2 linked regions of the Anolis sagrei genome follow. The protein of the gene in region 2 purifies or fractionates together with the protein of the main gene of each other region. This does not show direct contact. Links are inferred from orthologs where the notes say so. Each region holds a gene or a part of one and is shown on either strand. Other genes may lie near its edges. The genes, in order: RPL7L1 and RPL13A.

Region 1 (7,298 bases), on a different chromosome or scaffold from region 2:
AAGCATTAAGACACATATACTATTATTTATTTACTTTCCCAGCTATTTCTTGCTAAACCTCATTTTCATCTATATCTGGTTCTTTATTTAAAGAAATAATTTTCCATCTATATTTATTTTCAATTAATTTAGTACATTGTACTAAATTAAATGAAAATAAATATATGTGGAAAGTTACTACAGAGGACAATTGGTATCTGCTGGGATTTGGTTCCAGAACAGAAAATCCATGAATGCGCGTCCCATTGTTTACAATGCTATAGTGAAATGATTTCCCTTAAAACAACTAATGCTTTCAGTCTTCATAGAACATAAGTACAGCAAAGTATATTCTGGTCTTATATTGTATCTCCCCTACCTTTCTCTTGTCCTCCAAGGCCTGCTTTGCCTGGGTGGCCTTGATTGCCTGATAGGCCTTCCTTTTCTTCAGTAGGTTTTCTGGCACCAAAGGGATCTTCCTGGGTGGCCTAAACATACAGAGACAAGGGTTTACAACATAATATATCTAATGCAGAAGCAGAGAGCTGGAAGAGGGCATCTGTCCAACCCCCTCCCATGCTTAATTACATTTCAATGAAAGTCAATTGCATGTATTTCCTATGCTGTATTTACATCCTGACGCAAGGTTCTGAGGGGAAAAGCAGGATATAAACACAATGATTATAATATTAATATAAATCAATTTTACTTGTCTCAGAAGTGCTTTCTAAAGTCATCTAAGAATTCTCAAGTTAACTGGATTGTTCGCTTATATAAAATGCTTCTGTTAAAGAGCAAACATTAAAGCAGCATTTTCAACTATATGGACACAGCAGTCTATATCCACACTGCATATAAAGCAGTTTGAATCTACATCCTTGGTTCTCAACCTGGGGTCCCCAGATGTTTTTAGCCTTCAACTCCCAGAAATCCTAACAGCTGGTAAACTGGCTTGGATTTCTGGGAGTTGTAGGCCAAAGACATCTGGGACCCCAGGTTGAGAACCACTGGTCTCCATTATATAGAGTAGTGGTTCCTAACCTTTGGGCCTCCAGGTGTTTTGGACTTCAACTCCTAGAAATCCCAGCCAGCTCACCAGCTGTTAGGAACTGTGGCAGCTGAAGTTCAAAACACTGGGGGCCCTTCCACACAACCTTATATCCCAGAATATCAAGGCAGAAAATCCCACATTATCTGAGTGTGGACTCAGATATCCCAGTTCAAAGCAGATAATGTGGGATTTTTTGCCTTGATATTCTGGGATACAGGTCTGCGTGGAAGGGCCCATGGAAGCCCAAAGGTTGGGAACCACTGATATATATACTCGCTGGACCTACTGAACTGCATTATTTGAATCTGCACTGACCATATAATGCAGATCCAGACTGTATTATATGGCAGTGTACATCCTGCTCCAGACTCTCACACTGAAATCCACAGGACCTCGAGTCAGTTGTGCTTAATCATAGATTTCAATGGATTTGAGACCTTTGTGCACTGACATATAATCCAGATTGATAAGTAGATAATCCAGAGCCCTTCCACACAGCCATATAATCCAGAATACCAAGGCGGAATAACCCACAATATCTGCTTTGAACTGGAATATCTGAGTCCACACTGCCATATATACCTGTTCAAACCAGATAGTTTGGGATTTTATTCAGCTGTGTGTAAAGAGCCCCAGATTATCTGATTTGAACTGGATTATATGAGTCCACACTGCCATATAATCCAGATTTAAAGAGTCTGATCAAATCTGGATTAAGTGCATAATGCTCTCAAAACCAAGCACTAGCAATTAACACAAATTTATTACATTGCTCCTTACATATGATGCTAGTTCAACACAGTTAATTGGTATTTAAATACAATGATTTGGGGTTTGGGATATTTAAGATGTGAGGGGCTTTGAGTCTCGAAGGTGGATATAAATTAATATAATATTAATATAATATATTGTCGAAGGCTTTCATGGCCTGAATAACTGTGTTGTTGTATGTTTTTTCGGGCTATATGACCATGATCTAGAGGCATTCTCTCCTGACGTTTCGCCTGCATCTATGGCAAGCATCCTCAGAGGTAGTGAGGTCTGTTGGAACTAGGAAAGTAATATAATATAGTTTTTCCCCCAACATAGGAGATATATGACACCCTAAATTTCCCTTTCAGTTCTTCCACAGCTATATAAATAAAAATGTAATGTTCGTTTGTAGGATTAACATAACTCAAAAACTACTGGCCGAATTGACAGCAAATTTGGACACAATACACCTATCACGCCAATAAAAAAAAAGATTTTGTCATTTGGGAGTTGTAGTTGTTGGGAATTACAGTTAACCTACACTCAAAGAGCATTCTGAACTCCACCAATGATTGAATTGAATCACATGTGGCACACAGGACTCCCATGACCAACAGAAAACACTAGAAGAGTTTGGTGGCCATTGACCTTGAGTTTGGGAGTTGTAGTTCACCTACATCCAGAGAGCACTGTGGACTCAAACAATGATGGATCTGGACCAAACTTGGCACGAATATTCCATATGCCCAAATATGCACACACATGGAGTTTGGGTGAAATAGACCTTGACATTTGGGAGTTGTAGTTACTGGGATTTATAGTTCACCTACAATCAAAAAGCATTCTGAACCCCACCAATGACAGAATTGGATGAAACTTCCCACAAAGAACCCCCATGATCAACAGAAAATACTTAAGGCCATCCTGTCCAACTCCCTTCACCAGGGCAAAGAAACATAATCAAAGCCCTCCTGACAGAGAGCCATCCAGATATAGATATATATGATTCACACAGAGAGAGAGATATAGTATCATAGATTTGAAAGGTATCCCTAAAGGACAGGGGACGGCTAGTATTAATATAGTTCTCCCTCCCCAATGTAGGAGATATATGACACCCCAAATTTCCCTTTCAATTCTTCCACATTCTTTTATACAACTATAAAATTCTCAGATTGTCAACACATATAAACAGAGCGGCCCCGAGAAGCAACAAAACTCTTGTTTACACCGATGAAACCGAATTAAACAAAGATGAAGCCATTCTAGACACAGATCTATTATTTCAATGTGTCCAAAGCCCTCCTTCCCTGAGGATGGACGCAGATTCCCTTCCTCCCCCTTTCCTCCCCGTGAAACTCACTCAAGCGCCGCCATGTTTCCTCTCCACCTGGGTTTACCAGGTTACTACGCATGCGCACACTGCCGAGCATGCGCAGAAGGGAAAAGAATGCTTACATCAATTTGCATGCGTTTTGCAACCTTATTGGTAGGGTTCTCGAGCGCCTTCCCCTTTATGTCTTGCATAGACATAGAAAGTTAAGACAGAACGAACGGAGGAGAAACTTTCGGGTTTGCTTTCAACATTTCTCAATTAGAAATGAGACTAAGCCCCAAAAGTTATGAAAATCAAATGCTAAGCTCTAACTAAGATAAAGCAGTGGGGTGTTTATTCAATACCAAGGGCTTCCTGCTTTTCCAAACCCATGTTATTTCATTAAGGGAAAATAATATCATGATTTATCAATGCTTTTAAGCTTACAGCCTTTTTTCTAAACTCTGGTTACTTTGAAAATCACATTACTTTGAATGACATTTTGTATCATTTTGTGGTTGAGTGCTGTCAAATCATTCCCAGCTATTGGTGACCATGATATAAATCTAGCATGGCATTTTACTTGCAATATTGGGCATGTTTGCTTTTGCTCCTCCTTTTTGGGGCTACACTGTGCAATTAATGCAGTTTCACTCCACTTTAAGTGCGGAGTGAAACTGCATTCATTGCACAGTGTAGCCTCAAAAAGGAGGAGCAAAAGCAAACATGCCCAATATTGCAAGTAAAATGCCATGGCTCAATGCTATAGAATCCTGGGAGTTGTAGTTTTCGTGAGGAACTAGTACTATTTGGGAGAGTAGGATAAACTGCAAATCTCAGATATAAAGTGGTAGTTAAAGTGGTGTCAAACTGCATTAATTCTACAGTGTAGATTCCACCCAGCATGTAACTTGCCTAAGTTAATTTAATAACGGATAGTAGGATGTCTGTGAATTAAATTGTTTCATATGCTTTTAATCTAATTTTTTAATTATGTATATTTTTTCAAATTGTATTTTATTTATTCCAACCTAAAACCCGACCTTATGGAGTGAAATATATATATATATATTCATACATTAAGTTCCCAGTCGTTGAGAATGCAAAACAATTTCAGTTGCAGTTGTATGCCTGACTGAAATTATTTTGCCATGGAAAAATGTTATAATTAGACTAAAACTAGGCACATTAAATCAATTGAGTGAAAAGATCTGAATTTGAGATTTTTCAGTTTGCACCCTTAAGACTCTTATCATAAATAATACATTGAATTTAAACAGAATACTAAAGTGTGTGTAAGCATTTACGTCACCTCTTGCAGCCCCATGAATGCTAAAATACAATTCAATGTACCATTTCAAACCTACAACATATAAATACTAAAATAGAATTAAACATGGAACTATTAAAATAGGTACTTTTAACCATTAAAACTCTTTTAAAATATCTAAAACACTACATAGTCTTAAAAATGTTCTTTACAAGACTTTCGCCTAAGGGCTGAGAAGAGCGGTATACAAATAAAGTAAATAAATAAATAAATAAATTTCTTAGGCTAGTCCTAACCTTCTTAATTTACAAGGTCAGAACACATCTGTTATCTTTAGTACAATTAGATCCACTAATCACCCCTTTATTACTGCTATTATATATGCAAGATCTAAAAAGTTACTTTTGGGACTTCAACCTTATTTATTTATTTATTTATTTGAGATTCCCCCACAACCTGGGGATCACAACCAGATAGAGTGAATACATCTAACCTTATGCTTTGTTACTATGCTGCTGAATATGCATGCTCAGTGTGGAACACATCTCACCACATTAAAACAGTGGATGTGGCTCTTAATGAGACATGCCACATTATCACAGGGTGCCCTACACCACTGGAGAAATTATACTGTTTAGCCGGTATTGCACCACCTGATATCTGCCAAGAATAGTGAAAGGACCAAGGTAGTGACATCTTCAGCCCATCCCCTGTTCAGATATCAGCCAGCATGCCAATGCCTTAAAGCAGGAAATAGCTTTCTAAAATATACAGAGATACTCGCAGACACAGCTCAGCAAGCGAGAATCCAAAAGTGGCAGGTTAAAACTCAGAACCTCAATCCACAGCCGCACTTGGCCGCACTGAAGGATGGGCAACTTGGAAGGTGTTGAACAGACTGCACTCTGGCACCATGAGATGCAGAGCTAACCTTAAGAAATGGTCCACGGCATGCAAGTGTGAAGAAGAGCAATCCACAGACCACTTACTGTCCCCGGTGGCGCAATGGGTTAAACCTCTGTGCCAGCAGGACTGAAGACCGACAGGTCACAGGTTCAAACCCGGGGAGAGGCAGATGAGCTCCCTCTTTCAACTCCAGCTCCTCATGCGGGGACATGAGAGAAGCCTCCCACAAGGATGATAAAAACATCAAATCATCTGGGCATCCCCTGGGCAACGTCCTTGCAGACGGCCAATTCTCTCATACCAGAAGCGACTTGCAGTTTCTCAAATCGCTCCTGACACAACAACAACAACAAAAAAAACTTACTGCAATGCAGTCTGAGCCCTGCCACATACACAATGGAGGACCTCCTTACAGCGACATCAGAGGCACTCCAAGTGGCCAGTGTCTGGTCAAAGAAAATCTAGTATTTCTTTGTGTTCTGTTAAATACATTATAACTGTACCCTCTATTCACTTTTGACACTATAAATAATAAAAACTAATGCCAGTTTCCATTGATTCAAAGGATATAAGAGATTTGCCATAAAATTGCTTTATTCTTAGAGAAAGTGGTCGCGTAATATAATACAAATATAGATATTATGACCCATCTATGAATCAAAAGCTTTTAGACAGTTGTGTATATAAAATATAACAAGGCAGAGTTTACGAAATAGTACACCTGTATAGACAACACCTAAAAACACCTTTCCTCTAATTAATCAGTTCTTACAGTGCAATCCTATACAGTTATACTTGGAAATAAATCCTATAGGGTTAAATTATCTTTACTCTCGATAAATGAGTAACTTTTTTGTTGCCCTGCATTCTTATTTGGTAGTGATTTACTCAAAAGTAGGCCTCACTATATTCAATTGAGTTTATTTCCAGGTAAGAGTTGGAAGCATTTCTTCCTTAGAATCAATCCCATACATCTGGCGTTTGTCTCTTTCTCCAAAAATGGTCATACTTTTTTGTTTCTTTGGATTAAGACAGAGCAACTCTTTGGATAGCTTAAAGGCAGTACTTTTTTGCTCTTGCCAGAAAATACTCTGAAGCTGCAACTGATCTCCCACAGCTGCAGTGTTATATAAGCTCAACACACCATAAATTCAACACTTTTTAATAAACAAGGATTTAGACTTGTCATTCACCACATAATATTGAGGGTGAGTGTATTTCTTTGGGGAAAAATTGAAACCGTCAGTTTTTTCCCCAATTCCTTGCATGCAATACATTGGCCAGGCATTCTTCTCATGGATCTATAGAGATCAAATAAAGTTGAATTAGCAAACTATTTGCATATCCCTCTCTGTTTCTTCTCATGAACATAAGCAGGCACAAACTATTTGCAGTGTTTATTTGTAGTATCTACTATCTGATCTACTGAATCAATGAGAGTATAGTGTCGAGATCGAGGAAAGTCATAATCCCACTATTCTTCTTTGGTTGGTCTCACCTCGAATACTGTGTCCTGTTCTGGGAACCACAATTCAAGAGGGATATTGACAAGCTGCAATGTGTCCAGAGAAAGGAGACCTAAATGATCAAAGACTTGGGGGGGCTTGGTATGTTTAACCTGGAGAAAATATGATTGAGCGGAGACATGATAAACTTAGATATTTGAAAGGAGGCACATTGAGAAGGGGGCAAGCTTGTTTCCTGTTGTCTTGGAGACCAAAACAGGTCCCATGTTTTGGGTCTGACTGGATGCCCCGCCACATACACACACATATGCGCGCGCACACACACACACATACACGAATATTCAGAGAAGGGAAAATTTGCACAATAGAACCAAAACAGCAAACCATAACCCAAGCATTTGCTTCTTAAAACACCTTAGGAAGAACCTTAGTACATATCCAACAAATTGCTGCAAGCCTTCAAAAAGAATGGAACAAGTGGACAGAGATCACAAAACCAGCCAAAATCAGCAAAAACCAGTAGCTCTGTCTGAAAAAATACTCTTTTGTTTAGATCAA
Region 2 (7,909 bases):
ATATATAAATATTATTATTGAATAATAATAACAATAAATTTAATATCCAGATTCCAGGTTATTTCTGGTGCCCACAGAAGTTGGTCATCAATGGGCAGAAGGAAGAGTTTCCCCTTCCTGCTCCATCCCAAAAACTGAACTTTCCTAGCGGCACAGGTCTACGATATGAGGCAGAGCATGTCAGGCAATGTATTCTGAAAGGTAAGAGCCCAAACTGTAACCATGGGTGCATCTACACTGTAGAATTAATGTGGTTTGATATTCAATTGCCATGGCTCAATATTATGGAATTAAGGGATTTGTAGTCTGCTGATGCACCAATGCTCTTTGGTAAAGAAGGCTAAAAGGTTGAGAAAGATGGTATATAAATATGGTTAATAATAATAATAATAATAAGAAGAAGAAGAAGAAGAAGAAGAAGAATCTTGTAAAACTTCAACATAGCATTGAGTCATGGCAGTTAAAATGTTTTTAAACTGTATTATTTCTACAGTATTTATCAGGTATGCAAACTTCAGCCTTCCAGGTGTTTTGGACTTCAACTTCCACAATACCTAACAGTCTACCGGGATTTGCAGTTTGGTGAGGCACCAGCAGTCATTGGCAGGGAAGGCTGGTTCTCAACCTGGGGTACCCAGATGTTTTTGGCCTTCAACTCCCAGAAATCCTAACAGCTTGTAAACTGGCTAGGATTTCTGGGAGTTGTAGGCCAAAAACATCTGGGGAACCACTGGAAGACTATAAAACTACAACTCCCATGATGCTATAGCAGTTAAAGCTGTATCAAACTGTTTTTATTCTTCAGTGTATGTAGATTCATCCCAATTGTGTTGTGCAGATGGATGTAGAAAAAGCAGACAGCTTGACCTTTTCTTGTTTCTTTCTTTTACTTTTCTTAGGCTTGAAGGAGAGCCCTGTCATGTCTCACGCAGACAGTGAACTTATTCATTCCATCTTGGATGAAGCCCGCAGGCAGCTGGGAGTATCCTATCCTCAGGACCATGCCTGACCCATACTGTAGTTTGCTCTCTATGTATATGATAAAAGAAACATTACTATGTTATCCCTAGATAATTCCCAATACTGTGAACATAAGGGTCAACCAGTCAAGTTGCAAGAGTTGGTTACACAGTTTGGAATTTGCAGATAAGTTCCAAGAAGCTTGCTGTTTGTTATACAGGGTTAGTCAAAATGCATAGGCCAATAAGCCATTCAATTGAATGGCTTATTGGCCTATGCATTTTGACTAACCCTGTATATTGTATTTCTTCAATTCTAAGCCACAATCCACCATATAGACATCCCAAAAGCAGGGTGTGACTTACATTAAAAGTGAGATAGATAGAAAGCTTTTTTTCCTATTAGTGGTACTGAAATTAGTATCGTTTTACAATTGATGGCAATTCAGAATTGAAGAAATATAGAAATTTCCACTGTCAGACAGCAAACTGTAAAATAAAGCTAATGTTGCCTTCCTCTCACAATTTGTTGTGTTTTTATGGAGTGTTTTACACCTTTTTCTCACACTTGTGTTTGAACCGGAGACTTTTATGATTGAGTGACTGAATATTAAAGACAATTGGGTGTTCCGACACTAGGTGTATGCAGTGGTTCTTAACTTGTGGGTTCCCAGATGCTTTGGCCTTCAACGCCATGAAATCCTAACAGCTGGTAAACTGGTTGGGATTTCTGGGAGTTGTAGGTCAAAACATCTGGGAACCCAATGAAGGATCACCGATGTAGGGTCACTCCAAATGCACAAGTTTAGGAGTCCCCTCAACGGCCCAATGTAGCCAGGCGAGGAGGAAGCCATAAGTTAGATTCTTTCTACAAAGGCTTTATTGCGTGGCCATAGCAATAACGACAAACGTGCATACAGGAATGCAACCAAAGGTTTTGTCACAACCTCCAACGGGACTGCCGAGTTTTTGTCATTTTTGGCAGTAAATTGAATACACATTCTCATTGTTTTCCAAAGACAAATCATTTCATTGGTCTAAGCTAGCTCATTGGTTCTTTATGATTTTGACTGACATGATAGCACACGTGGGACCTTAAAAAGTCTGTCGTCCCTTCAATGGTGTAGCAAAGTTATTATCACTTTAACAGAAAATTAAAAGCACATTCTCACTGGTGTACAAAGATCAATTATTCCATTGGTCTAAGCTGGCTAATACAGATTTTCATTAGCCCTCTATCTCAAAAAAGCAGTACAATAGCACAATTATGCTTTCATGCCTCTGACCCTGACTGTCTATCTTATCTACTTTTCTGTTTCAAACATAGACTTCAAGCACTGAGAGAAATTAGGGAGTGTTAGCTAACACCAGCACTGCTCCAGTGAATTCATCCTTGAGCATAATTCACCTCCCTATGGCAGTTCTCTCACTTTTACAGACAAAGGCCTCTATGAATCAGGACATATGGGACTTACAATCATTGGAGGCATTTATGAAAATTCTATTTAAAACTACGCCTCCCTCACTGGGATTTGTAGTTTGGTGAGGCACCAGCAGTCATTCGCAAGGAAGGCTAAAGACCTTGTAAAACTACAACTCCCATTGCGCTATACCAGGGATTCTCAAACTTTTTAAACAGAGGGCCGGTCACTGTCCCTCAAACTGTTGGAGGGCCAGATTATAATTTGAAAAAAGCATGACTGAATTCCTACGCACACTGCACATATCGTATTTGTAGTGCAAAAAATGCTTTAAAACAATTCAATAACTAAAATGAAAAACAATTTTAACAAATATAAACTTACTAGTGTTTCAGTGGGAAGTGTGGGCCTGATTTTGGCAGATGAGATTGTTGTTGTTGTTGTTGTGTGCTTTCAAGTCCTTTCAGACTTAGGTTGACCCTGAGGGAGGGCCGGGTAAATGACCTTGGAAGGCCTTATCCAGCCCACGGGCCTTAGTTTGATGACCCCTGTCCTATACCATAGCAGTTAGTTTATTTATGACATTTATATGCTTTCCTTCTCACCAAAGGGACTCAGAGTGGCTTACAAGATATATATACATACAATATATTATATTATTAGCATAGTACAATATCAGTATTAAATATATGGAGCCTCTGGTGTCGCAGTGGGTTAAACCCCCCCCCCCCTTTTTTTGTCATGTTAGGAGTGACTTGAGAAACTGCAAGTCGCTGGTGTGAGAGAATTGGCCGTCTGCAAGGACGTTTCCCAGGGGATGCCCGGATGATTTGATGTTTTTATCATCCTTGTGGGAGGCTTCTCTCATGTCCCCGCATGAGGAGCTGGAGCTGATAGAGGGAGCTTACCCGCCTCTCCTTGGATTTGAACCTGCAACCTGTCAGTCTTCAGTCTTGCCGGCACAGGGGTTTAACCCACTGCGCCACCGACAGGTCTCAGGTTCGAATCTGGGGAGAGTGCAGATGAGCTCCCTCTCTTAGCTCTAGCTTCTCATGAGGGGACATGAGAGAAGCCTCCCACAAGGATGGTAAAACATCAAAAACATCCGGACGTCCCCTGGGCAATGTCCTTGCAGATGGCCAATCCTCTCACACCAGAAGTGACTTTCAGTTTCTCAGGTCGCTCCTGACATGACAAAAAAAAAAAGCATAGTACAATATCAGTATTAAATATTACTATGATGGCACAACCGGGAAGATTAAGGGAAAACTATATGTGTCTGGCTATTTTCCCAGTGACCATCGGTATGCCCTATATGTATTTTAATTCCCCCAAAATAAAACTCTAGAGACAAGACTAAAATTAACCAATTAAGTTTACTGAATAATCAGGGTGAATAAAAACAAGGTATAAAGGTGCAGTTTGATTCTTGATGGTAAAGACAACAGGAGACTATGAAGTATAATGATGCTCTGAGATAACAACTATATTCTCTATGACAAATACAGATGAATTCTTTATAACATATACTATAGACTCTAAGGCAAATACTATAATCTTTGAGGCATGTATTATCTAATCTATATGGCAAATACGTGCTAAGGATGGCCTGTTCAGACTGCTAAGCCAGACCAGACAACAAGCCAAATATATTGTTCTATGCCATTATATTGTAATATTATTAATATTACATGTAATATAAATATATAATTATAATATCATATTTTATTAGTATTATATTGCATTACATTATTATATTATAAATATAATATGTATATACAATATTATTATTTAGTAAAATTATATACAGTTAAAGCTGTTTTTATTCTATAGTGTAGAATAGATGAAGGCAAGCTTCGTCCTTCCAGGTGTCCGACCGGCTGCTAGGAATTTTGAGGGCTGAAGTTCAAAATACCTGGAGGGTTGAAATTGGCCCATGCCTGGTCTACACTGCCAATATAATGCGGTTGCAAACTGCACGTGTTGATAGGGATATAGCTTATTTATTTATTTGTCGTGTCAGGACAACCAGTCAAATTATATTACATTTCTAACAGAACAAAGCAAACAAACAAACAGACAAAATACAAAATGTGTGAGTTTGGTAGTTGATTAAATGTCCTTTGACCAGTATCTGGCCACTTGATATTGTCCAGGGATATAGCTAAAGCAGTAGTTTGGTCCTGGAAGCTTTTGGACTTCAGCTCCCATAATTCTAAGCAGTTGAGTCAGTCAGCTAGTGCTTCTGGGAGTTGAAGTCCTCAAGGTTGGGCAGTTCTGTCTAGTAGCTAGGCCTCAACCCTGGCTGTTAAGGAGAAGGAAAACTTTAGGGGACGCCCTTGGTGACGTCATTTCCGCACCTGCGCATTTCGAGTCCCGCCCTGAAGCGGCAGAGAGGGTAACCCCGTAGCCGGCGGTGGGCGGAGCCTCTTTCCCGTGCGGCCGCCGAGGAGCAGCCATGACGGAGCCGAAGGTGCGGAGCTTCTCTAAGGCCTCGGTGGCTTTTTTTCCTTGGGTCGGCGGGAGGAGGGCGGCGAAAGAAGGCCGAGGGGCTCGCTTGATGCCTCCTGAGGCCTTGGTGGCGGGGAAAGGGGAGAAAAAAAAGGCCAATTCCCCATTTGTGAGGCCTCAGCCAGGACTAGGCCTCAGGCGCGAGAGTGCAAGAAGAGTGTCCCATAGAAATGTGCACACCTTATAACAGCTCACAGTCGCTCTGGTGAATATTTTAAGGCCTAAGCAATCCCAACTGTATTGAAGAACGAATCTTACAGTAATTATTTCATCAGATGTACAAGTTCCATCTTAAATTAGGATTTTAGTCCATTTCTTTATATATATATTCCAAATAATTTGGATTAAACATTTACTAGGAAAGTGGGAAATGGGACAAGGGAAGGAAAAGGAAAAAAATGTGAATAATAATTAGTTATTGGTTAGTACCATCCTTAAAAATGTCTAATATATAACCATATATATATATTCCAAATAATTTTGATTAAACATTTACTAGGAAAGTGGGAAATGGGACAAGGGAAGGAAAAGGAAAAATGTGTGAATAATGATTAGTTATTGGTTAGTAGCATCTTTACAAATGTCTAATATATAACCATATATATATATTCCAAATAATTTTGATTAAACATTTACTAGGAAAGTGGGAAATGGGACAAGGGAAGGAAAAGGAAAAAAATGTGAATAATAATTAGTTATTGGTTAGTAGCATCCTTTAAAATGTCTAATATAATGGTTCTTTACCTTCCTAATGCTGTGACCCCTTAATACAGTTCCTCATGTTGTGGTGACCCCCCAACCTTAAAGTTATTTTCATTGCTACTTCACAACTGTAATTTTGCAACTGTTATGAATTGTAATGTAAATATCTGATATGCAGGATGTATTTTCATTTGCTGCACCAAATTTGGCACAAAGACCCGATACACCCAAATTAGAAAACTGGTGGGATTGGAGGGGATTGATTCCATCATTTGGGAGTTGTAGTTGTTGGGATTTATACTTCATCTGCAAACAAAAAGCATTCTGAACTCCACCAATGATAGAATTGAACCAAACATGGCACAGAACTCCCATGACCAACAGAAAATACTGGAAAGGTTTGGTGGGCATTGACCTTGAGTTTTGGAGTTGTAGTTCATCTATGTCCCTAGAGCACTGTGGAATCAAAACAATGATGGATCTGGACCAAACTTGGCATGAAAATCAGTATGTCCAAATGTGGACTCTGGTGGAGTTTAGGGAAAATAGACTTGATATTTGGGAGTTGTAGTTGATGGGATTTATAGTTCACCTACAATCAAAGAGCATTCTGAACCCCACCAAGGTTAGAATTGGGCCAAACTTCCCACACAGAACTCCCCATGACCAACAGAAAATAGTGTTTTCTGGTGGTCTGGCGACTCCTCTGACACCCCCTCACGACCCCTCCAGGGGTCCCAACCCCCAGGTTGAGAAACACTGGTCTAATATATGGTGAGGTGAAAACACAAGGTGAGAGTAGTTGAGGTATGGGGAAAAAAATCATCATTGTTGCCGTTAAGGCTTCATTTCTATTTCTTTAACACATATTTGGTAAAATATTGAGGATTCTAACCATGTTAATTTTAAGTTCCATTGATCGTATCTCCTGTCTTCTCACATTGTCTCCTGGTCTTCATATATTCTTTTCCAGTTTTCCTTCAGTGAAAGTTTATCTTAATTTTTCATAATGGTTTATTTATTTATTTACTGCATCTTTACTCTGCTTCATCTCAACCCTGAAGGGGACTCAGAGCAGCTTCCAGATTGGCAATATTCAATGCCACATGAAACATAAAACATACAAATACAAATTGCAATATACATTAAAATTTCTATTTCTTTAACACATATTTGATAAAATATTGAGGATTCTAACCATGTTAATTTTAAGCTCCATTGATCGTATCTTCGGTCTTCTCACATTGTCTCCTGGTCTTCATATATTCTTTTCCAGTTTTTCTTCAATGAAAGTTTATCTTAATTTTTCATAATGGGTTATTTATTTATTTACTGCATCTTTACCCTGCTCCATCTCAACCCTGAACAAGACTCAGAGTGGCTTCCAGATTGGCAATATTCAATGCCACATGAAACATAAAACATTCAAATACAAATTGCAATATACATTAAAATCATAAAAAGTCATAAAAACAATGGCATATAAATACATTACATATACTGTTAAACATTGCACATAGACCTGAATTCTTAGTCCAAGAACCATTCCAAATTGCATTACATTCCATTCACTTCATAGCTGCATGTTGACCCTACTTCCCAAATGCTTTCACATTAAACCTTTTCTTAAAACATTTGTTGTCAATATCTACAAAATTGTACAGTTGCTAGTAGATTAGTGTTTATATCATTTTAGCAGTATCATGCTGTCTCAGTATTTCGTCCAATATATTTTCCATCTACAACTCTTGAATTTAAAAACTTCTGATTTAACCATAATCACTCGACAAAGCAAGTAGATAGGACATAGGTATACACTATAGGACCCACAATATGAACAGCTGAACTTTATTTATGTATATATATAGGGGGGGGGGTTGATATAAAAGAAGGCTAGGAACAAAATCTTGAGAAAGAAGTTTGAGAGATCTGGCCTCCAGGAGCTATCAGGAAAGTTCTTAAAAATAAATATTAAGAACTGTCCCTGAAGGCTAGATCTCTCCATCTTCTCCTTCTCAAGGTTTTGTTCCCACTAGCCTGTCTAGCCTACATTTATACTAATCTGTCTCTTTATGTATACATAAATAAAATTCAGCTGTTCATATTGTTGGCCCTGTAGTGTATACCAAATACTTGCTTTGTTGAAGCGCAGACTTACACATTTCAGTTTTTTAAAATTTCATGATACATCTCTGCTGTTGGAAGTTTCAGTTCTGTTAAAAGTGCATACATTTTTGGGTCAAAGACAAATTATAAAATCATTAAAGATTGTACAAAGCGGCTGAAAGCCACAAAGGTGCCTGATGTTTTTACAAC

What was found.
Region 1: the proteins of RPL13A (region 2) and RPL7L1 purify together in Homo sapiens (affinity purification with mass spectrometry; 3 studies listed by BioGRID and IntAct, with this or other methods). This does not show direct contact. The link is inferred for Anolis sagrei from reciprocal best matches to the Homo sapiens genes RPL13A and RPL7L1.

The regions. Positions count from the first base shown.
Region 1 is NC_090025.1:35,698,722-35,706,019, reverse strand, and holds the start of RPL7L1 (ribosomal protein uL30-like), read right to left. Parts: upstream 3,235-7,298; 5' UTR 3,161-3,234; coding exon 3,147-3,160; intron 468-3,146; coding exon 359-467; intron 1-358.
Region 2 is NC_090026.1:21,586,783-21,594,691, reverse strand, and holds the start of RPL13A (large ribosomal subunit protein uL13), read left to right. Parts: upstream 1-4,747; 5' UTR 4,748-4,838; coding exon 4,839-4,853; intron 4,854-7,909. Other genes in the region: trans-1,2-dihydrobenzene-1,2-diol dehydrogenase-like, read left to right, coding at 51-201, 900-1,009. UniProt on the Homo sapiens protein: Associated with ribosomes but is not required for canonical ribosome function and has extra-ribosomal functions.